5 linked regions of the Sus scrofa genome follow. The protein of the gene in region 1 interacts with the protein of each later gene in a pairwise test. Links are inferred from orthologs where the notes say so. Each region holds a gene or a part of one and is shown in the gene's direction. Other genes may lie near its edges.

Region 1 (4,693 bases):
CTTTAAAGGGACACCTCTTAGAAAGCATAAGCAGATGAGCAAGAAGCTTATTCAACCCATCCAAAGAAATGGCATTTGAAAGGCCTTCTGATGGACGATAAGGTGTCTCTTTCACCAAACGAAGACACTCGGTTTTTCTCACGATGATTTGCCTAATGTTTTCCAGTGCGGTCTCTCTAGTAGTTGAATCTCTACTGCACAGTCCATCCCATCTCACTTCATTCTCTCCTTCAGCCATGACAACTGGAGTTTTTTTTCCTGCCCTCTTCAATCTTTCAGCATGTCCACCACAGCACTTCGTATTTTTAAAACGAGAAATGTAAGAAATAAATCAGAAAAATCGAATCGTCACGAAAACATAAGCCTGGGTGACATTGGTACCAGAAATGTCTTCGATCTACCAGACAGAGCTCGCCCTCTCCTTCTACCCGGAGTAGCAGTCTTCTAGTCAGACAAAAAAAAAAAAAAAAAAAAAAAAAGTTGGAAAGTTGAAACCTTACAGAGCTGGCTTTGCTGGACAGTGTCGGGGAAGTGTTCCTCTCCGTCTCTCGGGGTCAGCGGATATCCTCAAGCCGTGGAGCTGTCAAATCCGTGCTCTGCCCCAAAAGGCTGGATACAGTTGAACGCTCTGCAGCCACTCGGTGTTTTTTGTCCGTGCAGCCACGGTGTTCTCGGGAGCGTTCCCACCCCGCCCCTCCTCCGGCACCAGTCCCCGCCCTCCGCAGCTCCTCCCGCCCGGCCGGGCGCTGGCTGGAAAGGCTCGCCGAACCCTGGCTCGCTGGACGCCGCGGCTAGAGACCCTGGCGCTCCCCAGGGGCTGCAGTCTCGTGCAGCCTCTGTCTCGGTGGTGGCGTTGGAGGAACGCGTCTCTGGCTCTGCGGATTCAGAATCCACGGGCTGACGCTGCTTCTCTTCCAATCCCGGTATCCTCGCCCACTGCCGGCCAACCCAAACCGGCACAGGGCAGCCCAGCAATCCCCGATCGCGGGGCTGGGCCGCGAAGCTGGCGGAGCGGCAGGGCCCCAGGCGCAGAACCCGCCCCTTCGCCCAGCCCCATCGATGGGGCTCGGCCCAGAGGGCGGGAGCGGGGAGGGGAGACGGGGTCCTCACCCCCAGCCCCTCCCCTTTCTCCGCCCGGCACAAGCCAGGAGCCGCCCCTGCCCCTGCCCCTGCGCCCTCTTCCCCGCCCAAGCAGACGCGACCCGCTGAGGCAAAGCCATCGGAAAAAGCCCCGCCCTCCAACAAGCTACCTCCGGACCCCGAGCCCGCGAGCGGCCGCCAACCGCTGACGGCTGCTACGCATGCGTAACGGTGGGCCGGGCGCATGCGCCTTAAGAGGCACCGAATCTGCTCGGGGGGCGTTTTTTTTTTTTGTTTTTTGGTTTTTTTGGTTTTTTTTTGCCTTGACGTTCGGCTTCTTTGGGCTGAACGGGGGTAACGAAAAGTTGAAATACGCCGAAATTATCACACACGAGACAAGAACCGCAAATAAGGAGGGCACAGATAAACTCCTGGAAGAACTCGAATCAAAATTTAAAATCAGAGGAAAAAATAGAAACTCTTTATTGCGCCAAACACCAGATTTAAGAAGGCAGGGCGTCCTCGCATTGACTTCTGGGAAGTGTAGTTCTGGTGCTGTAGGCGCGTTCTGTTTGAGACAGAAACTACAGCTCCCGGGAGCCACTGCGACGTTGCCTGTGGCTCCCTGCGAGCCAACGGCTAGCGCTGCCGGAGATTTGACTGAGAGATTTGGCTTGGTGAGCACTGTGGGCTTGGCTGACACTTTTCCTTTGACAGTATTTTTCCTTCCTCCATTTCCTGTGGGATTTTAGAAAGGAAGCCGTCTCCTTAGAGCTGTACTCCTTAGTCCAGGGACTATCAGTAATCTACGTGGGAAGAACTAGTCCGAGTGCCCAAGACCGCGGGCGCGTTGAGAGGACATGGATGGTCGGAAAGAGCTGCATAAGGTCAGGCAAGAGGGATGCTGTGGAAACTAGTGCTCCGCGGTGCTACCTCTGCTTCTGCTCTGTCAGGTGGGCTCACGCGGGATGGACTCAGTATCCCTGTGTAAGTGCACCTTTGTTTGCCATTGCATAGGATTGTTTGAGGCTTTATTTGCGCAGAAGAAATCCTGTGCCACACTTTGAAAGAGAGTTGTCAAATCCTTTTTGTACAAAACTGAAGGGAAAAGAATCCCTCGTGTTCCTAGATATGAATATTTGCAGGCTTTAAGAATACCATATGGAAAAAAGACTTATAAAAATCTCTAAAATTTAGTAATTTTAAAAGATTAAATAATTTGTTTGCATATTGCTGTTTGAAGTCATTCTTCTTGAGAAAAGTTGAGGTTTGAAGGGCTATCACTGGACTGATAACAAATTAGTTTTAATTTTTCATGTTGCACAATACATGCGTTTCTAAAACTTAGTTTCTAAAAACCAAGTACTGGACAAGTGGAAAACGCACAGTTCCCATCTAGTTAAACTAATGGTTAAACATTATACAATACATATATAAAGTACAGTACACACATTAAACATACAGTACTATATGATATTATTAGGATGGCTAGAAAGATCACTTAGGCCGGTCTTGGAAAGTCAGGGAAATCTTCATCTCAGGGAAAGAGGGTCAAAAGAACAGCATATGGTGAGGCCAAGAGTGAGGGAGATAGTAATTTCAGGAAACTGCAATAAGCCAAAATCATATACATTTCAGGAGGAATAGCTTTTTGTGTTTTGATGTACAATACAGCAAAGAGAAAAGAGTAAAGAGCAGAAAAGAGAAACGTACTATGAATTTTCCAGATAGTTTCTGAAAGTGACCTATCCTTGAACAGAGTTCTGATGAATTGGTTTAATTTGGAAAGCCTAGAACATTCTAATGTTGCTTGTTTAAATCAGAATTTTAAAAAATGAGAACTTCCTTCTTATGAGTATGATTTCAGAAAACAAAGCCACTCCTTCTTGTGTCTTTTGGGGTGGGGGGAGGCTCATCTTCCTTTGTCCAACCCACAAAGGATAGGGTAGTTTCTTAAGTGTGGGTCTCCTTTTTACTTTGTGATTGAGTATGATCTCATTCATAGCCATGGTTTCACCACCACCTATGACTTAAATGTATAATTTCATCCAACTTCACCTTTTAGCTTTGTTTCACCACCACCTATGACTTAAATGTATAATTTCATCCAGCTTCACCTTTTAGCTTTCTTATGCCCATCTCTATGGTGTTTCTTCTTGGATATCTCAAAAGCACCTCAGACTTAACATGCCTAAAACCAAATGAACAGTATCTTTTATGAATCTGATTATTTCCCAGTGTTCCCTATTTCACTTAGGGCACTGCCATGCACTTGTGAAAATTTGAAACCTATGCATTATCCTTGATTTCCTAATGTCCTTCATACCTCTGTAGCCAAATTATTTTTAAGTACTCTCAATTTTGTCTCCCAAATATCCCTCAAATCCATCCTTTGCCTCCATCTACATAAGCACAGTCTTTTCTAAACTGCCATAAACTCTTGCCAGGAATGGTGAAATAGTGATTATTCACTCTGGCCTTTCTCCATTAGTTCTCCACACAGCAGCCAGAATCATCTTTTCAAAATGCAAATCCATTCAGATTCACATTTTCACTTAAAACCATTCAGTGTGTGTCCTACTTTTAAAGGCAAAATTTCTTTACAAATGTCATCTTATGTCATCTGGTCCCTTCCACCTCTCCAGCCTCACTTAGTACACCACTGTCCACCTATCTGTGGAGACCTTTCTTCAGTTACTGGCTCTTATATTCCTTTTTATCCATTTGTTCACTGAACAAATATCTTATCAAATACCTACTGTATAAGGGGACATTGAGGATATACTATTGAGCACAATGTATGAAAGTTTTTACTCTCATAGGTCTTCCATTGTGCTAAGGAGAGATAGACAATAAATATGTGGCATATATAGTAAGTGAAGACAAATGCTGCAGAGAAAAATAAGAACCAGCGGGGAAAGGGAATGTGGAGTGGCAAGTTTTAGGGGCAAGATTCTCTTTTAAATAAGGTCAGAGAAGGCCTAATCAAGAAGGGAACATATGAGGGATCTGAAGGAGGGGAAAGAGTAAATGTGCAGGTGCCTGGAGGAGAAACATGTCTGTGAAGAGAACAGCCAGTGCAAAAGCCTCTGGGTGCCCACATTTAACAAATAGCAGTGTGGCAGGAGATGAGAATAACATGAGATCACAGAGGAAGGAGGTCCTGTAGGTGATTGAAGGAACAATTTTTTTTTTCTTTTTTTCTTTTGCTTTTTAGGGCCGAACTTGGGGCATATGGAAGTTCTCAGGCTAAGGGATAAATGGGAGCTGCAGCTGCTGACCTGCGCCACAGCCCCAGCTACAGGGGATCTAGGCCTCATCTGCAACCCACGCCACAGCTCGCAGCAACACCAGATCCTTAACCCACTGAGTAAGGCCAGGGATGGAACCCACCTCCTCAAGGATACTTGTCAGGTTCATAACCTGCTGAGCTGCAACGGAAACTCCCAAACTTTGACTTTTTCGATGGAGATAGGAAGCCACTGGAGGGGGTTTTGAGCAGATGGGTTGCATGTTCTGACTGTTTAAATTGATTACTTCTTTAATTGTGCTGATCATAGACCATGGAGAAGCAAGGGTAGAAGCAGAGATGCTAAGTAGGAAGCTAAAATAA
Region 2 (4,231 bases), on another chromosome or scaffold:
AAGGCCAGGGATCGAATCTGAAATCTCATGGTTCCTAGTCGGATTCGTTAACCACTGAGCCACAATGGGAACTCCTCGATCACCCTTATTATGAGTGCCAGGCACTGTTCTTAGCTGTCTACGTATAGTAACTCATTTAGCTTAATGCTCATAACCTTGCTAGGAGAGAGGTACTGTTCATCTCTCCATTTTACTGATAAGCAGACTGAAGCACAGAGAGGCTAAGTAACTTGTGGAAAGTCACACAGCCAGCAGCGGCACAGCCAGGTTGCAACCAGTTGAAGAGGTGCCAGAGCCTACACTCTCAACTGCTGTTGCATCAGGCCTCTGAGTTGTATCAGCGTTTTTAATTGCTTAAATTCCTCTTGCATAGCTGGGAGGGGAACACAGCTCCTGGTTTGGAGATAACAACAAGCAGGACCCCCTGTAATTCACTGTGAGATGAATCCATGGGCATAGATTGTGTGACCGCCAGCTGCCCACAGTCCACAGTCAGATAGGACACGGAGAGCACAGCTAATGAAAATGCACACAGTGTTCAAAGAGTGGTCAGATTGGTGGTTGGCTCTCATTTTTGGGAGTGTGCTGGTGTTTGGCTTCAGAGTGCTTGCTTTCCATGCCGCTCCAGGGGGAAAGCTCTGTGTGCCTAAAAGAGCAACAGGCAAGATGCTGGAGGCTCAGAATGTGCTGCCGTAGTTGGGTCTCTGAGGCGCTTGCAGTCTTGTCAGTATAACTCACAGCAGTGCTGGCTGCTCTGGAAATAGAGGGGTTGGGATGCTGTGCAGTTTCTACACATCCCAGGCAGACGCTTCCCAGGGATCATCAGGGTTTGGGTAGCAGCTTGGCCCCATGGCCATTGCACCAGCATCTCTTTGGCAGATGCACCGAGGGTTGCCCCCAACCCGGGGACGTTCTCCAAATGCAGCTGCAGCTGAGCTGGGGAGATGTGTGTGCTGATGGTGCGTGTCCTCTTTCCTCCCAGGCCGCCAAGATGGCTCACCACCTGCAGCGTCTTTTCGGAGGAGGCGGCTGGCACGGAGGCCAGGCTACATGAGAAGTGCAGCTGGGCCCCGGATCAGGTTCTTCTCGCCAGCAGTGGGCAGTCTGCTCCGGGCCCAGGGAGGGGCATGCAGTGAGGAGACCCAGCACTCTGAACCCAGGACAGGACCATGTGGCCGTGACCCTGGAGGCCAGGGGCAGGGTCCCTCGACCGGGACCCTCATTCCCTGGAGCACAGCAGCCTCTGCTTGGACCTCCACGGGCCCCCGAGGCCTGGCTCTGACAACAGGGAGAGGAACCCTGGGTCTCTCAGGGATTCAGCCCAGAGGTGGCCGCGCCCTGCCCAGCAGGCTGACTAGGTCGTGTGGCTCCGGGGACAACATATGCCAGGGGGCGCCACCATCCATGGACAGTTGGGAGGCTCCGAGCCCGAGTCGGGAAGCAGCCTGTGGGAAAGGAGCCCTGGACACCTGGGCCAGAGGCTCTCTATCCCCAGAGGAGGGAAGTGGCACCAACTGCAGCCTCGGAAGTGGCCCCAAGGTCGACCCCACCCCTCCTGGCTCTCAGGATGTCTTCACCTCCAACTTCAGCTTCATTCGCCTCTCCCTGGTCTCTGCCGGGGAACGTGGAGAAGCAGAAGGCTGTCCGCCACCCAGAGAGGCTGAGGCTTCTCATCAGAGCCCCGAGGAGACAGTGGCCAAGGCTGCTGGTGTGGACGGGCCCCATGAACACCCTCAGCTTCTCTCTCCCGCCTCACCCCTCAAGGCTCCTCAGGACCTGGCAGATGCTGCCCAGATGGCGGGGGACAGCCCCAGACTGGAGTGCGAGATGCTTCCTTTGCTGGACATGGACGCTGCCTCCTTCTGCTCCCTGGATCCCTCGAGACCCGAGGGCAGCCACCCTCAGGATGCTGACCTCTGGGACCCACTGCTCCGCACTTGTGAGCCTGCGCTGCTGCACTGCCTGCAGGGCCAGCGGAGGCGGCTGGAGGTGGGTGTGTCCCGAGCCTGTGGGCTGGGATGGTCTCACTGAGGAGGGGGGGGGCCGCAGGAAACGGCGGTTCTGGGGTTGCCCCAGTCCCCACTGGAAGCCCCTGTGGTGACTGGCCATGGAAAAATGTTGCTACACTTGCATCTCTCCTCCTTCTGTTGGAACTCTAATCTGGTCTCGTTCTCATCCTCTGTCCCTTAGATGCTTGCTTCGCTCTCTGTTGGCTTCAGGCTCCTCTGCAGCTTCTGGTCTGGGTGATGCAGGGTTAGCTCAGCCTTGCTCTGTTTTAAACAGGAGAAGGGGGACAGGGAGCCGGGGAGGTGGAGTCAGTCGCTGTGTGGATATAAAGATGATGATGCCCCAAACTGGGGGCGATCTGGAGCTGCTTCTGCATGCGCAGTGCTCATGGCATCCTCAGCAGCAGGGACTACTGATTTTGTTTCTGGTCCTTAAACTTCTCAGGCCCTCAGTTTCCTTATTTAGAGATGCTGACATCACACAAGATTGTTCTGTGGCTCAAGCTGGAATGTGAGTGCTTTGGAAATTGGGACAGGCGGTATAGAAGCAAGTTCCAGCATCATGACTTGCTGTCCACTCATCTGAGGGGGTACAGCTGGGGGTAGACAGGGCTGTTCTACCCTGAGAAGTCCCCAGAGAAACCCGCGCAGAGAGGCTTTGTGGCAACCCATTGGCTCATCCTGTTCAGAGACTGTGTTTTCCATCTGGGCTGTGTGCATGTGTGCACGTGTGCATGTGGGGATATGCATGCGTAAGCAGGGAAGTCGAGTCTCATTAGGATTTGGTAGGAGTACGTGAAAATGTGAGGCTCATGTTCCTTCCCAGCAGTGGATCTCCTTTGCTCTCTACTGCATATCCGATGTTCTTGGCCCCGGCCCTTTTGCCCTGTCTCAGCCTGGCTGTGGGATTTATCAGCCAGGGAGGTGGCAGAGCCACTTCTGTGTGAGACCTCTCCTACCCCCCCCCCCACCCCCGATGACCCTCTCCTTCCATCCTGTCCCTCAGCCCTTTGGATGTGCCCCATTCAGTGCTCATCACATTAATAATCATTTGCTTGTGGGTCCAAGTTCTACACTTGACTCAGACTTTTTTTTTTTTTTTTTTGTCTTTTTAGGGCCTCACTCATGGCATATGGAGTTTCCTGGGCTAGGGATTGAATCGGAGCTACAGTTGCTGGCCTACACCACAGCAACAGCAACGTGGGATCTAAGCCGTGTCTGTGACCTACACCACAGCTCATGGAAATGCCGGATTCTTAACCCACTGAGGGAGGCCAGGGATTGAACCAGCATCCTCTTGGATACTAGTCGGGTTCATTAACTGCTGAGCCATGACGGGAACTCCTCTTAAATATTTTTGGATGCATGATGCCTGGCCTACTGCCTGGTGCTTGATTACTGTTTGTTTTCAGTGAAATAATTTAGCTTGTTAAGATGGGCCACAGGGAGTTCTGTTGTGGCTCTGTGGGTCAAAGACCTGACATAGTGTCTATGAGGATGTGAGTTTGATTCTTGGCCTCGCTCAGTGGGGTAAGGATCCAGCGTTGCCACAAGCTGTAGTGTAGGTCACAGATGTGGTTCAAATCTGGTGTGGCTGTGGTGTAGGCTGGCAGCTGCCACTCTCATTCAGTCCTTAGCCTGGGAACTTCCATATGCTGCAGGTGTGGCCATGAAAAAACAAAGAAAGAAAAAAAAGAGATGGGCCATAGATATCTAACTGACAGATTTCTGTGGTTGTCTGTCTGAGGCCTAAGGAGAGGGGCTGAGAGGCACACATACAAGGATACAGGCACTAGGTGGAGGTTTGTACCATGATGCTTTTCGGACTCTAAATGACAATTTCCAACACGTTATTTCTGAGATCCTTTAAAAAAAATCTTGGCGGGGATTTCCCGTCGTGGCGCAGTGGTTAACGAATCCGACTAGGAACCATGAGGTTGCAGGTTTGATCCCTGCCCTTGCTCAGTGGGTTAAGGATCCGGCGTTGCCGTGAGCTGTGGTGTAGGTTGCAGATGCGGCTCGGATCCCGTGTTGCTGTGGCTCTGGCATAGGCTGGTGGCTACAGCTCCAGTTCAACCCCTAGCCTGGGAACCTCCATATGCCATGGGAGCAGCCCAAGAAATGGCAAAAAGCCAAAAAAAAAAAAAAAAAAATCTTGGCACCATATCTCTATTTCTCCAATTCCCAAATCAGAGTTTTGACCCCAGTCAAGCAGACGTAGAATG
Region 3 (4,676 bases), on another chromosome or scaffold:
TCAAAACGTTTCCTGCCTGTGCCCTTGGGACCTGCCCAGGGAAGGAGATGGATGGTGAGACAGAGGCACCTGGGCATGAAAGGAGGCTGGTGATACTGGAATGGGACTCGGGGAGTGACTTTGTCTACAGGCTCTATATCCAGAAATCCTAGGCAGCAAACCTCATATGTCTTAGCTGTGCAGGCACAGGAAAAACCCAGATGGTTCATAGCTCACATATACCCAGGTTTACTGCTAAAACTCTAAATTCTACTGAGCCCTCACCCCAGTGTCATCACGTCTTGAGGGATAGTGGGTGCTTTCAGAGGCAGACAGAAATGGGCCAGATGTTTCTGTTCTCAATGAAACCACTTCACAGTAGGGAAACATATACACAACTTGGGGGTGGGGAGGGGGCGCTGTTAAAACAGCACTGGCTTTGCACCGAAATATAAATTCGTCTGCTCCAAGTCCAGCTCTGTCCTTACAGGCTGTGAAACCTTTGGCAAGTGACTTTACTGCACTGAGCCTCAGTTTCCTCGTCTGTAAAATAGGGGTAAATACAGAACCTACCTCACTGGATTGTAAGAGGATAACCTTGTAAAGTTGTTTTCTCTCTTCCAGAGGGTAAGGTTAAGAAAAGATCTTTCAAAATACCAAATCACATGGTGTTCCCATCGTGGCGCAGTGGTTAACGAATCCGACTAGGAACCATGAGGTTGCAGGTTTGATCCGTGGCCTTGCTCAGTGGGTTAAGGATGTGGTGTTGCCGTGAGCTGTGGTGTAGGTTGCAGATGGGGCTCGGATCCCGCGTGGCTGTGGCTGTGGAGCGGGCTGGTGGCTACAGCTCCAATTAGACCCTTAGCCTGGGAACCTCCATATGCCATGGGAGCGGCCCTAGAAAAGACCAAAAAAAAAAAAAAAAAAAAAAAAAGTGTGTGTGTGTGTTCTATATACTCAGGGTTTTTACTGTTGATCATTCAAAATTACTTTTATTTGGAAAACAGAAGCAGATGTCCTCTCTGCGCGCTGCTGCTTTCAAGCACCTATCAGACGACTGCTGAGGATCTGATTAGATTCTTTGTCACTGTCTTCCCTCACCAACAGGTAGGTCCCTGAGAGTAGGGATGGTGGGTCCCATCCAACGTTCTGGACCAGCGTTCATTATGGAAAGTGGCACCAGGGAGGCTGGCGAGGAGGCGTGATGGGGAAAAGGCAGGGGACCCAACTTCGTGCCGCCCACGCGGGGCCGCGGGAGCCCTCCCGTCCGCCCGGCGGTCGGCAGGTGGCGCCGCAGGCCAGGCCCTGGAGCCTGGAAACCGGAAGCGGCGGCGGGGCCGGGCAGGCAGGCTCCTGGGCGCGGGAGACCAGGCAGGGTCCACACCCTGTGCGCCGCCTCCTCCCGACGCCAGCCCCCAGCGTTTGGTCCGGAAGGGGGTGCTGCGGGGTGTCTGGAGAGGGCCTCGCGGATGCCCCCAGGACCAGCGGCCCCGGGGCCTCCAGGGAACATGGGCGTGCTTCGGGCCGGACTGTGCCCCGGCCTCACTCAGGACATGGTCCAGCTTCTGCAGAGCCGCGGGATCAAGACAGGTGACCGTGGGCGCGCGCCTGTGCGGGCCACATGGCTGGGCCCAGCGCGGAGGCTGGCCCCGGCCCTGGCCCACTGGGTGGGGCCCCTCCCCTGCCTCCGACGCCCACAGCCTTCTGGCAGAGCTTGGGAGGGTGGGACTGGGCAAGCCCCGCTCCAGGAGGGCTAGAACCCCCCACTGTGGGCTAGGCGCCGCGCCAGCCCCCGCGGCTCCGCTAGTTCGCGTAGGCGAGGAAAAGTCACGGGCGGGAGTCTGGGGCCTCCCTTGCGCGCATCAACCCCGCGTGTTTTGTTTTCAGTGGTGGACCTGGTTTCTGCAGACTTGGAGGAGGTAGCCCAGAAATGTGGTTTGTCTTATAAGGTGAGCTGGCGATCTCCACACTCCAACATGGGTGTCTCTAAATGCCCATCCCCGAGCAGAGTGTCCCCAGAGATTGATAAGGGGGGGGCTAGGAGACCCTGGATGGCCCCCTCCCTTGGCGGGTCGCTGCCGCACACTCCCGGCTGCTCCGGCAGCTTCCTGAGTTGCCCCGCCCCTTCCGCAGGCCCTGGTCGCCCTGAGGCGGGTGCTGCTGGCTCAGTTCTCCGCTTTTCCCTGCAATGGCGCTGATCTCTACGAGGAACTGAAGACGTCCACGGCCATCCTGTCCACCGGCATTAGAAGGTTTGTGTGTGTGTAGCTGGGGCAGAAGGCGAGAGGCCAGAGGCTCTGGCTGGGCTTTTGATGCTTGAGAAAGAGCAGGCTGCTTCAGCTGTGGTTGAAGGAGACACGGGAGGGGGGTCAGGATTTCTGAGTTATCTTACCCTGTACAGAGTTTCTCTGACTCCTAACCACTTAGGATGCATAATTTTGGGGGTGGCTGTCTTGTGCATATAGTAGGATGTCTGGCAGCATCCCTGGCCTCCACCCCAGTAGATGCCAGTTACACCCCTCTCCTTCATAGGTCATGACTATCAAAAATGGCTCTAGCTGTTGCCAAATGACCCTGGGGGCCAAAATTGCTACTGGTTGAGAATCACTGTCCTGTAACACAAGATGTCAGCACTTCCACAGATATTATTCCACAGATCAGAGCAACTTTTCTCTGGCCCTTTCTGCCCTTTCACTTAAGGATGGGGCAGGGAGTTCCCCTTGTAGCTCACTGGGTTAAGAACCTGAGGTGGGTTAAGTATCCATAAGGATGCATGTTTGATCCTTGGTCTTGCTGAGTGGCTTAAAGATCTGACATTGCTGTGAGCTGTGTAGGTCACAGACGGGTCTTGGATCTGGTGTTGCTGCGGCTGTGGTGTAGGCTGGCGGCAGCAGCTCCAATTTGACCCCTAGCCTGCGAACTTTCATATGCTGCGGGCACAGCCCCAAAAAGAAAAAAAACGATGGGGCAAGAGAGCACAACTGAATACCATTTATTTGAGTGCCTACTATATACCAGCCAGGGCTCCAGCCCTGGCGCACTTGATCCAGAACCTGGTTCTTTCGCTGTACTCTGCAGCAGGAAGGGACAGGAGTGATTTATGTTCTGCTGTGCAGTTTGGAGAGGGAACGCGTTGGAAGAAAACAGGCGGCTTCTGGCCAAGGAAGGCTGACCTCTTTCCTGGCCTGTTTGTACAGAATTTGATAAAGAGCACTGCCACCACCAAGGTCTTTGGATTGGTTTGGCCTTTGCTCTTTCCCGTGCATGTCCTCTTGGCAAGGTTCATATAGCATGGCGCCTGCTTTCTGCAGCTGGGGGTCCAGGTCTGTCATTCATCAAGCACTGGCCAAGTGCCTATAGGTGACAGATGTATGCCAATGATACGAATATGCGTGAGGCAAGGCCCTCGCACTTAAGGAGTGTGGGGTCTGGTGGGTAGAGAAAAGCAAGGGACAGAAGAGAGGGGTGTGGGCACGTGTGTGTTGGGGGTGGTGACTAACAGGGAGCAGCCTTGGCCTTTGGGAATTTATAAAACCAGCCCAGGCATTCCCACTGTGGTGCCACAGGACCAGCAGCATCTTGGGAGCCCTGGGATACAGGTTAGATCCCCAACCTGGCACAGTGGGTTAAGGATCTGGTGTTGCTGCAGCTGTGGCTTAGGATATGATCCCTGGCCTGGGAATTCCATGTGCCATGGGGCGGTCAGAAAAAAAGAAGAAGGGGGGTTCCCGTCATGGCACAGTGGTTAACGAATCCGACTAGGAACCATGAGGTTGTGGGTTTGGTCCTTGGCCTTGCTCAGTGGGTTGCCGAGAGCTGTGGTGTAGGTTGCAGACGCGGCTCAGGATCCCGCGTTGCTGTGGCTCTGGCGTAGGCCGGTGGCTACAGCTCCTATTAGACCCCTAGCCTGGGAACTTCCATATGTCACGGGAGGGGCCCTAGAAAAGCCAAAAAACAAAAAAAAAAAAAAGAAGAAAAAAACCAGCATATACTGAAGCAGCATTTCGGAAACAGTCAGGTGGAAAATTGGCAGAATGGCAGCTGCCATGGGTCACTGCAAGGGACTTCACTGTCTGGGAGGCTCTGTGGAGGAGGCAGGCCTTGGGCAGTCTGGAACGGATGGGCTTTCTGAGCACTCACCAGGAACCAGACACTGTGACCTGAAATAACTGGATACCTCCTTGCATTTATCTTCACAACCACAATGAATGTGTTCCCCTGAAAATCACCATCCTGTAGATGAGAAAAGCGGGACAGGTAGTGACTTGCTCAAGATCCCCCAGCTAGTAGGTGGCAGACCAGGCCCTTGAAGTCATGCCTGTCACATTCCTAAGTCTAAGAACACAACTCTAAATAACACGTCTGCCCTGTTGCCCCCCCTCCGGGTGGGAGGCTTTCTTGCGCAAGTGGACGTACAGGCGTGGCGTCGAGGTACTCCGGTGGATGGGGCCAGGGAGGCTGGCAGCAGAGAGCCCCGGGAGGATGTGGCAGGGGAGGGCATGTGAGCTGGTTTAGGGCTGGTGACAGCAGGAGGCATGTTGAAGAAATGTGATAAGCCTGCCCACCCGGGGGGATAGAGAGATGACCCGCCAGGAGGTCCCTTCATGGCTTAGCAGTTAATGAACCTGACTGGGATCCATGAGGATGTGGGTTCGATCCCTGGCCTCGCTCAGTGGGTTAAGGATCTGGCATTGCCG
Region 4 (3,413 bases), on another chromosome or scaffold:
TCCACCCCTGGGCCGCCCCACAGGGACCAGAACAAGTACAAAGAGGCCACAGACCTGCTCCACGATGCCCTGCAGATCCGGGAGCAGACCCTGGGCCCTGAGCACCCGGCGGTGAGCGGGGGCCCCGGAGGAAGGGAGGGCTGTGCGCTGTGGGCCTCTGACCCCTGACCTGCCTACCCCACACCCCCAGGTGGCCGCCACCCTCAACAACCTGGCCGTCCTCTACGGGAAGCGGGGGCGTTACCGGGAGGCGGAGCCCCTGTGCCAGCGCGCCCTGGAGATCCGTGAGAAGGTCCTGCTCCCTGGGAGCCCCTGTCGTGTGTAGCCCTTCCCATTTGATCCTGAAACACTCAATTCGGCAGGACCCTTGCTTGCTCCGGTGACCTCTGACCTTTTGGGCCCCTCCCACTTTGCACCCAGAGCCCTCAATCCCCTGACCCACCACCCTTGACCTACCATGACTTCCACTGGGCCTTGACTCCTGGCTCTGACCCCCTCCTCTTGCGACTCGCCTCCTGGCCCCCCTCCCCCCCAGTCCTGAGCTCCCAACCCCACTCCTGATCTTCCAACCCCAGGTGACCAGTGCAACCCCATCCTTGACGTATAATCATGAGGTTCTGGACCCCCATGATCTCTGACCTGACTAATCCCATCTGATGGTGCAGCCCCTGTCTCCCACTCCGACCTCCTAGAATCTTCCACAGAGGTCCTGTGGTCACCGATTCGTGAACGTGGTCCTCATTCCAGCCACTGGCATCATGTGGCCCATCAGCCCTGGATGACCCCAGTGACATGTGACCCCGTGACCCTTAGGTCCTGGGCGCCGACCACCCGGATGTGGCCAAGCAGCTCAACAACCTGGCCCTGCTCTGCCAGAACCAGGGCAAGTTCGAGGAGGTGGAGCGGCACTACGCCCGGGCCCTGAGCATTTACGAGGCCCTGGGGGGGCCCCACGACCCCAACGTGGCCAAGACCAAGAACAACCTGGTGAGTGCGCTCCCCCCCTGGGGGTGGGGGGACAGCCAGGGCCCGGCGTCCGCTCGAGGGTGGGATACCTGACTTTGCCCGGCCCTGGAGGGGTCCCGTGAGACTCGGCTTCCGAGCTGGGCCCTGGCAGGCAAGGCTGCTCAGCCCAGAGGTCAGCGCCAGGCGACGAGGCAGCCGCGGAGACCAGCCAGGAGCAGATGAGCGCATTTATTGAGCTAGACCCCTTCCTAGCACTTGCCCTGTACTGCCCATCTCTTCAAGGGCCCCACGAGGTAGGTGCTCCTGCCGCCCCATTCTGCAGACGAGGACACGGAGGCAAAGACAGGTGTGGCTCAAGGTCGAGGGGGAGCAGGCTCCTGCTCTGAGTCAGGGAGGCAGCTGCCCTGGGGGAAGCGGTGGGGTCGGGCGCCGAGCCCACTCTGCTGCAGGCTGAGGCCTGGAGTGTAGGGTGAGCCCAGGTGTCTCCCAGGGGGGGGCTGGGAAGCTCCCAGATTTGAGCCAAGCTCACCCAGGCCCTCACCTCCCCGCAGGCCTCAGCCTACCTGAAGCAGAACAAGTACCAGCAGGCGGAAGAGCTGTACAAAGAAATCCTCCGCAGGGAGGACCTGCCCGCGCCCCTCGGTGAGCCCCCAGTCCCGCCCTCCCCCAGGAGGCTGCTCAGGGTCCCCACTACCATGTCCTCATCTGTTCCCTAGGAGCCCTGAAAACAGGCACAGCCGGGGGTGCAGAACAGCAGGTGAGGAGGGGCTTCGCTCGGCTCCCGGGGGATGGGGGGGTGGACCGGCTGGATGGGAGGACTGACTGGCGCCCCCCTCCCAGAGGCTTCGGCGGAGCAGCTCCTTCTCCAAGCTCCGGGAGTCCATCCGGCGGGGAAGCGAGAAGCTGGTCTCCCGGCTCCGAGGGGAGGCGGCGGCAGGGGCAGCGGGGTGAGTGTGGGATCAGGTGGGGGAGAGCCTGGACAGACGCCCCCTCTGTAGCCCTCCTGTCCTGCTCAAGAACCTTCCACGGCTCCCGTCTCCCCCGCAACACATACAAGCACCCCTGTGCTGGAGGGTCTGCCCCAGGACAGGAGCCCGACACGCCCAGACTCACGGGTGCCCCACCTCCTCCAGGATGAAGAGAGCCGTGTCCCTCAACGTGCTGAACGTGGATGGGCCAAGGGCCACTGGGCTCCCGGTGAGGGGGGTCCCTGGGGCAAGGAGGGAGTGGGGGACCACGAGGTCGGGCCCAGAGGCAAGGGAAGGGGGGGATGGCACGGGAAAGGACCCCAGGACGGGGGCCTGGATGGGTTATCCGGGCAGAGGCGGGAGAGGTGGGGACAGGAGGATGAGTGACACAGCCAGTGGCGGCCAGGCTGCCAGGGAGTAGCCCTAGTGGCAGCTGGAGCAGAGTTAGGTCCGGGCCTCACTCACCCACCTACCCCCCGTGCCTCTTTCCAGTTCTCCAGCCGGCACCTAAGTGAGGCTTCCCGGACCCTCAGCGCCAGCACCCAGGACCTTGGCCCTCGATAAAGGCGACAAGACCACGCGGCCGCAGCATCTCGGGAGGAATGGGAGAGGGTGGGGAGGGAAGGGGAGCCTCCCACTGTCCTTTCTCCTGCCATTAAAGGCTGTGGATGTGGCAGCCAAAATGCACGCCTGACCTTCCAGCACCTCCCCGGGGCCAGGTAAGACTGGGCATGATGCGCACACCTTGGCGGCCCCGCCTGGCTCATGCTACAGCTGCTGCGCGATCTGCTCTATCCTCCGCAGCGTCTCCTCTGACTCGAGCTGCTCCAGGCTGAGCAGGGACAGGCCCAGCTGGTCCTCCTGCAGGGGAGGGAGAAAGCAGGTCAGACGGCTGCCGCACATCCGACCCAGGGTCCACGCCGCAGCCAGTAGTGAAGGGAGGTGGCCCGCCTGAGGCCACGGGACAGGATGCTTGAATCTGGAAACATGTCCAGTGCAGAGCGGACCACTCCTGTCAACAGAGGACAGGCCGGCAGAGGGGCTGCATCCAAGGCGGAGCAGGACCGGCTTTCCAGAGGCCCCTTGGACGCACGCTGACCTCTGCAGCCCCCAGGCCTGGCACATGGGCGCACACAAACCTGTCAGGGGCGGGGGGTGTTGGGGCTCAAGGAGAAAGCAAGCCAGGGTCCCTCCTGTAAGAGGAGCTCGGTCGCCCGGGGCTCACCCGGTGGAATGGCTGTGCCATCTGCCTCAGGAAGTACTTGGCAACCTGGACCCCCTCGTCGACGGTCAGGTTGAGGTTGGCGTCTGTGAGGTGCTCCTGGATCCAGCGGGGCAATTTCCCCCGCTTGTCTGCCCGGGCGAACCGCTTTGAGCGGGAGAGAGGCCAGGTGTCAGGACCGTGGGAGGGGGGCCCGGGCACCCCCAGCCGGGCCCGACTCCTCACCTTGTCAGCGAAGACCATGAGGCCGTAGTCCG
Region 5 (4,231 bases), on another chromosome or scaffold:
CTTCCCATCCCTCGAGCCTACTCGCCTCCCCTGTCCACTCCTTTGTGTTTCTAATGAAAAGCTTCTCGAGGCCAAGGGCACCTTCTTCCATTCCCCAGTGGATCTGAAAATGCCAGTTTTTAGGGCTAGACCCCAGGGGAGAAGGCAGGGGAGATTTGAACCCTAACATCAAAGGCCTAGTGAGGAGGTGGAAGGAGCAGAAAACCCTCCCAGGCCTTTGCCCTGATAGCAGGTGGTCTTGGTGTCTCACTACTAGACCGTAGGTTCCAAGAGGCAGACCTTCAGTAGTGGGAACAGCAAGGACTTTATTTCAAAGAGGAAGGAAGTCAAAATCTAAATGGCCCAGAAGTGATCAATTAAACTTTTTGAACAGACCAAGGAGTGGAGACAGGATGATTGTGGAGAAGGAAAGGCTGGCAAAAAGATGTAGCACAGGTGACCTTGGCAGAGGAAGGCGGGAGACCTTCCTCTTTGCACCGGAGACACTCTGTCCACTCAGCATTTGTATGTGCAGTATGTCCAAATTTTTCTTCTCAAACACCTGTGTTCTCTTCTAGTTTGAAAAACAAACAAAAAAACCTGGGAGTTCCCATTGTGGCACATGGGAAACAAATCCGACTAGTAACCATGAGGTTGCGGGTTCAATCCCTGGCCTTGCTCAGTGGGTTAAGGATCTGGCGTTGCTGTGAGCTGTGGTATAGGTTGCAGACATGGCTCAGATCCCAAGTTGCTGTGGCTGAGTAAGCTGGTGGCTGCAGCTCCAATTTGACTCCTAGCCTGGGAATCTCCGTATGCCACAGGTGTGGCCCTAAGAAAAAGCAAAACAACAACAACAAAAAACGCCAAATGTGTAATTCTGTACCCATGATCCTCAGTAAAAGTTTGTGTACCAGGTGAAACCCTGCCTCATTTATGCATGAATACAGCAGGTAGTTATTGAGTGCAGTGTGCAGTGTTCCCTGGCAGATCTTGGAATGGTGAGCAAAGCACACACTTCTGGTCTTCGTGAAGCTTACAACAAAGTAAGGGGGAGACCAACGTTTTACACACACACACACACACACACACACTGCAGAGCACAAGGGGCTGTGAGACTATTTCATGGAGGACTTTGCTTAGTTTTTTAAGGAGGTAGGGGGAGAGGCTAGGGAACGCTGAAATCTGGTGAGTAGAATGAGCAGGTGTTGGGGGCGAGAGCTGGAGACAGTGTGCCTTGCAAAGAATTTGTGGGAATCCTGACCCTCCCCACCCAGTCCTCCCTAATCGCCCGATCCTGATGCCCAGATTTTGAATTTGCTATTGGTGGCAGTGCCTTTTACTCTCAATCTCCTTTTAGGTTCTCCTGATCCCAGATGGGTACCTGTATCTAGAAACCTTGAGATGCGCCACAGATACTGAGAGCTCTGACACACTTATTTTGTACATTAAATCCTATTATAAAATATAGGCTTGTTGTGAAAAGTCAGCACTGATATATATGATGTGGCAAGTAAAAGCCCCTGTCACATGCTGTCTTATTCCTCAGAAGCAACTATGCTTTATGATAGGACATAGATCTTTCCAGACCTTTTTTTATGTCTTCCTGTATTTGTGTTATATATTATTTATATACATAGTTTTTGCAAAAATAGATAATACCATGTATTTTACAGTTCATTTTTCTTTCTATTCATTCTCTCTTTCTCTCTCTCTCTCTTTTTTTTTTTTTTCTGGGCCATGTCCATGGCATACAGAAGTTCCTAGGCCAGCCAGGGATTGACACTGTGCCACAGCAGTGACCCAAACCACTGCAGTGACAATACGGATCTTTACCCACTGCTCTACAAGAGAACTCCCTCATTTTTCTTTCTAGTTAGTATATTATGGAAACATTTTCATGTCTTCTTTATAGATCTGCCAGTTTCTTTTAAATGCTGCCAGTATGCTATTGAACCTTCAACTTTTTTTTTTTTTTTTTTTTTTTTTTGGCTCCACCTGCAGCATGTGGAAGTTCCTGGGCCAGGGATCACATCTGTGCTACAGCAGCAACCTGAGCCTCTGCAGTGACAGTGCAGGATCCTTAACCCAATGCACCGCAAGGGAGGTGCTAACCTTCTTGAGTTTAAACAGTCCCTCAATGTACCGCAGCATCTAGGTTATTTTCTCATGTTTGGTTATCATGTGATGAACCTATATTTGAATTTCAGCTGTGAGCTCTAAATACACAATTGTTTTGGGACTAGTACGTGCACAGGCTGCTCATGGGAGAGCTGAGGCGCTGTAATTTCTGAGCTTACAGACTGAATAGATGAGAATAGTCTGTGTAAATTTTTTTATGGCCACACCCATGGCATATGGAAGTTCCTGGGCGAGGGATTGAATCCCAGTCATAACTGCAGTCTATGCAGCAGCTGCAGTAATGCCAGATCCTTTAACCTACTGCATCTGCCGAGGATCGAACCCACACTTCCACAGTGACCCAATCTGCCGCAGATAGGTTCTTAATCCACTGAGCCTCAGCAGGAACTCCAATGTGTAAATTTTTTTAGTAGGGACTTTTAAGACTCAGGGCATCAGTAAGATGCTATAGATTAGGTTTGGTCTCTAACTGTCAGGCAGTTTCTTAGAAGCACTTAGTACTTTTTGTTTGGAGGAACCTAAGTTGTTTTTGATGCCAAGCCTCAAGGTCTACTTTTTTGTTGGTTTGGTTGGTTTTTTCAGGGCCACATCCAAGATTTATGGAGGTTCCCAGGCTAGGGGTTGAATCAGAGCTGCAGCTGCCAGCCTACGCCACAGCCACAGCAACGCGGGATCCAAGCCACGTCTGCGACCTACACCACAGCTCATGGCAACTCCAGATCCTTAACCCACTGAACGAGGCCGGGGATCGAACCCACATCCTCATGGATACTAGTCAGGTTCGTTACTGCTGAGCCACCACGGGAACTCCCACGGCCTGCTTTTCTACTGCACCGTCCCACAGATTCAGTCTGTTCCCTTAGGTGTGCCCTTTATTCCATCCCAGGTGAGGCCATACTTCTCTGATGGGGTAAAGACCAGGAGTTTCCAGATGAGAAATCAGTCTGCCTTTAACTCTGTGCCTCTAGAATAGGGTAGATTTGCTGACTTAGCCTCTCGCTCACCTCACCCTTTGGGCTTTGCAGGCGAGCTGCGCTCTCTGCGGGAGGAGATTTCCCTTTTGGAGCGTGACAAAGAATATGAACTTAAGGAGATAGAACAGGAGCTGCACTTGGCCCGGGCTGAGATCCAGAATCTGCGGCAAGCAGCGGAAGATTCTGCGACCGATCACGAGAGTGACATCGCCTCCCTGCAGGAGGATATCTGCCGGATGCGGAATGAACTCGAGGACATGGAGCGCATCCGGGGAGAGTATGAGATGGAGATCACCACGCTCCGCGCAGAAATGGAAATGAAGACCTCTGACCCTTCCAACAGCTTAAGTCTCTCCGACTTCTCTGAGATGCAAGGTATGAGAAAGCAAGCCGTCCTCCTGATCTGTCGGTCAGATCCAGCAGAAGGAGTTCGTGTACAAGAGGATGGTGGAAGGCAGGCTTAGGTCGTGAATTGAGAGCCCCTGGAGAAAACCTCCGGGTTGGACCCAAGACGGTAAAAGAGAAAAACTGGATGTCACGTAACCAGGTCCATAGTGGCGTTGTGATAGCACCGTGGAGCTGCACCCTGAGAATTCTTGCTCTGAGAGCCATTGGCATTTGTTGATTTGCCCGTGCTAAAGCCCTTCCTGGGGAAGTTTCCAGTTCTGGGGTGGGCATTATAGGGGCCGGTCACCTTGGAAAACTCCTCCTCCTGCTCTGGCATCATGGTGCTTTGCCTGGGTCACATTCGGGGGTGGGTGGAGGCTCCAGTCCTCCTCCAGCGTCCCTGGCTGATAATTTTTACTGTTCTTTAGCCCTCCCAAGTAGAAGTTTTAGGAGGCAGCAAAGCAGAGCGTGAGACAGCTGGAGAGGAAGAGAGGTTATTTCCAGTAAAACATGAGGTACTCAAAAGCGAGAGCTCTGCTCTCAGCGAGCCTCCCAGCTCGTTGCTAGGCTTCCTGACATCAGAGAGTTTGCCTTTATTCTGAGGCTCGATTTATGATCTGGGTATAATGGGAGGCCCTGTGCTGGCCCGGGTCAAGCAGAGGCAACCAAAGAACTGCAAGTTTTCCCAGCCCTAACAGGCCTCTCGGAAGAGCCTTTGGGCTGGTGGTACCAGGCGAGGGAGGCCAGCGCAG

What was found.
Region 2: the proteins of CEP57L1 (region 1) and DISC1 interact in a two-hybrid assay, tested with the Homo sapiens proteins (2 studies listed by BioGRID and IntAct). The link is inferred for Sus scrofa from reciprocal best matches to the Homo sapiens genes CEP57L1 and DISC1.
Region 3: the proteins of CEP57L1 (region 1) and RAD51D interact in binary tests that used the Homo sapiens proteins (3 or more experiments, as listed by UniProt). The two-hybrid records come from large-scale screens. The link is inferred for Sus scrofa from reciprocal best matches to the Homo sapiens genes CEP57L1 and RAD51D.
Region 4: the proteins of CEP57L1 (region 1) and KLC3 interact in binary tests that used the Homo sapiens proteins (3 or more experiments, as listed by UniProt). The two-hybrid records come from large-scale screens. The link is inferred for Sus scrofa from reciprocal best matches to the Homo sapiens genes CEP57L1 and KLC3.
Region 5: the proteins of CEP57L1 (region 1) and CCDC136 interact in binary tests that used the Homo sapiens proteins (3 or more experiments, as listed by UniProt). The two-hybrid records come from large-scale screens. The link is inferred for Sus scrofa from reciprocal best matches to the Homo sapiens genes CEP57L1 and CCDC136.

The regions. Positions count from the first base shown.
Region 1 is NC_010443.5:75,169,316-75,174,008, forward strand, and holds the start of CEP57L1 (centrosomal protein CEP57L1), read left to right. Parts: upstream 1-1,677; 5' UTR 1,678-1,940; coding exon of another isoform or gene 1,941-1,944; coding exon 1,945-2,067; intron 2,068-4,693. Other genes in the region: SESN1 (sestrin-1), read right to left, coding at 1-238. UniProt on the Homo sapiens protein: Centrosomal protein which may be required for microtubule attachment to centrosomes.
Region 2 is NC_010456.5:58,908,299-58,912,529, reverse strand, and holds part of DISC1 (disrupted in schizophrenia 1 protein), read left to right. Parts: intron 1-982; 5' UTR 983-1,050; coding exon 1,051-1,989; intron 1,990-4,231. UniProt on the Homo sapiens protein: Involved in the regulation of multiple aspects of embryonic and adult neurogenesis. Required for neural progenitor proliferation in the ventrical/subventrical zone during embryonic brain development and in the adult dentate gyrus of the hippocampus.
Region 3 is NC_010454.4:40,052,883-40,057,558, forward strand, and holds the start of RAD51D (DNA repair protein RAD51 homolog 4), read left to right. Parts: upstream 1-1,294; 5' UTR 1,295-1,448; coding exon 1,449-1,569; intron 1,570-1,866; coding exon 1,867-1,928; intron 1,929-2,112; coding exon 2,113-2,231; intron 2,232-4,676. UniProt on the Homo sapiens protein: Involved in the homologous recombination repair (HRR) pathway of double-stranded DNA breaks arising during DNA replication or induced by DNA-damaging agents. Bind to single-stranded DNA (ssDNA) and has DNA-dependent ATPase activity.
Region 4 is NC_010448.4:51,733,143-51,736,555, forward strand, and holds the end of KLC3 (kinesin light chain 3), read left to right. Parts: intron 1-23; coding exon 24-111; intron 112-190; coding exon 191-292; intron 293-813; coding exon 814-987; intron 988-1,175; exon of another isoform or gene 1,176-1,517; coding exon 1,518-1,608; exon of another isoform or gene 1,609-1,682; coding exon 1,683-1,723; exon of another isoform or gene 1,724-1,806; coding exon 1,807-1,913; exon of another isoform or gene 1,914-2,099; coding exon 2,100-2,163; exon of another isoform or gene 2,164-2,426; coding exon 2,427-2,498; 3' UTR 2,499-2,611; downstream 2,612-3,413. Other genes in the region: ERCC2 (TFIIH basal transcription factor complex helicase XPD subunit), read right to left, coding at 2,703-2,795, 3,160-3,303, 3,382-3,413. UniProt on the Homo sapiens protein: Kinesin is a microtubule-associated force-producing protein that may play a role in organelle transport. Plays a role during spermiogenesis in the development of the sperm tail midpiece and in the normal function of spermatozoa.
Region 5 is NC_010460.4:19,813,435-19,817,665, reverse strand, and holds part of CCDC136 (coiled-coil domain-containing protein 136), read left to right. Parts: intron 1-3,143; coding exon 3,144-3,467; intron 3,468-4,231. UniProt on the Homo sapiens protein: May play a role in acrosome formation in spermatogenesis and in fertilization.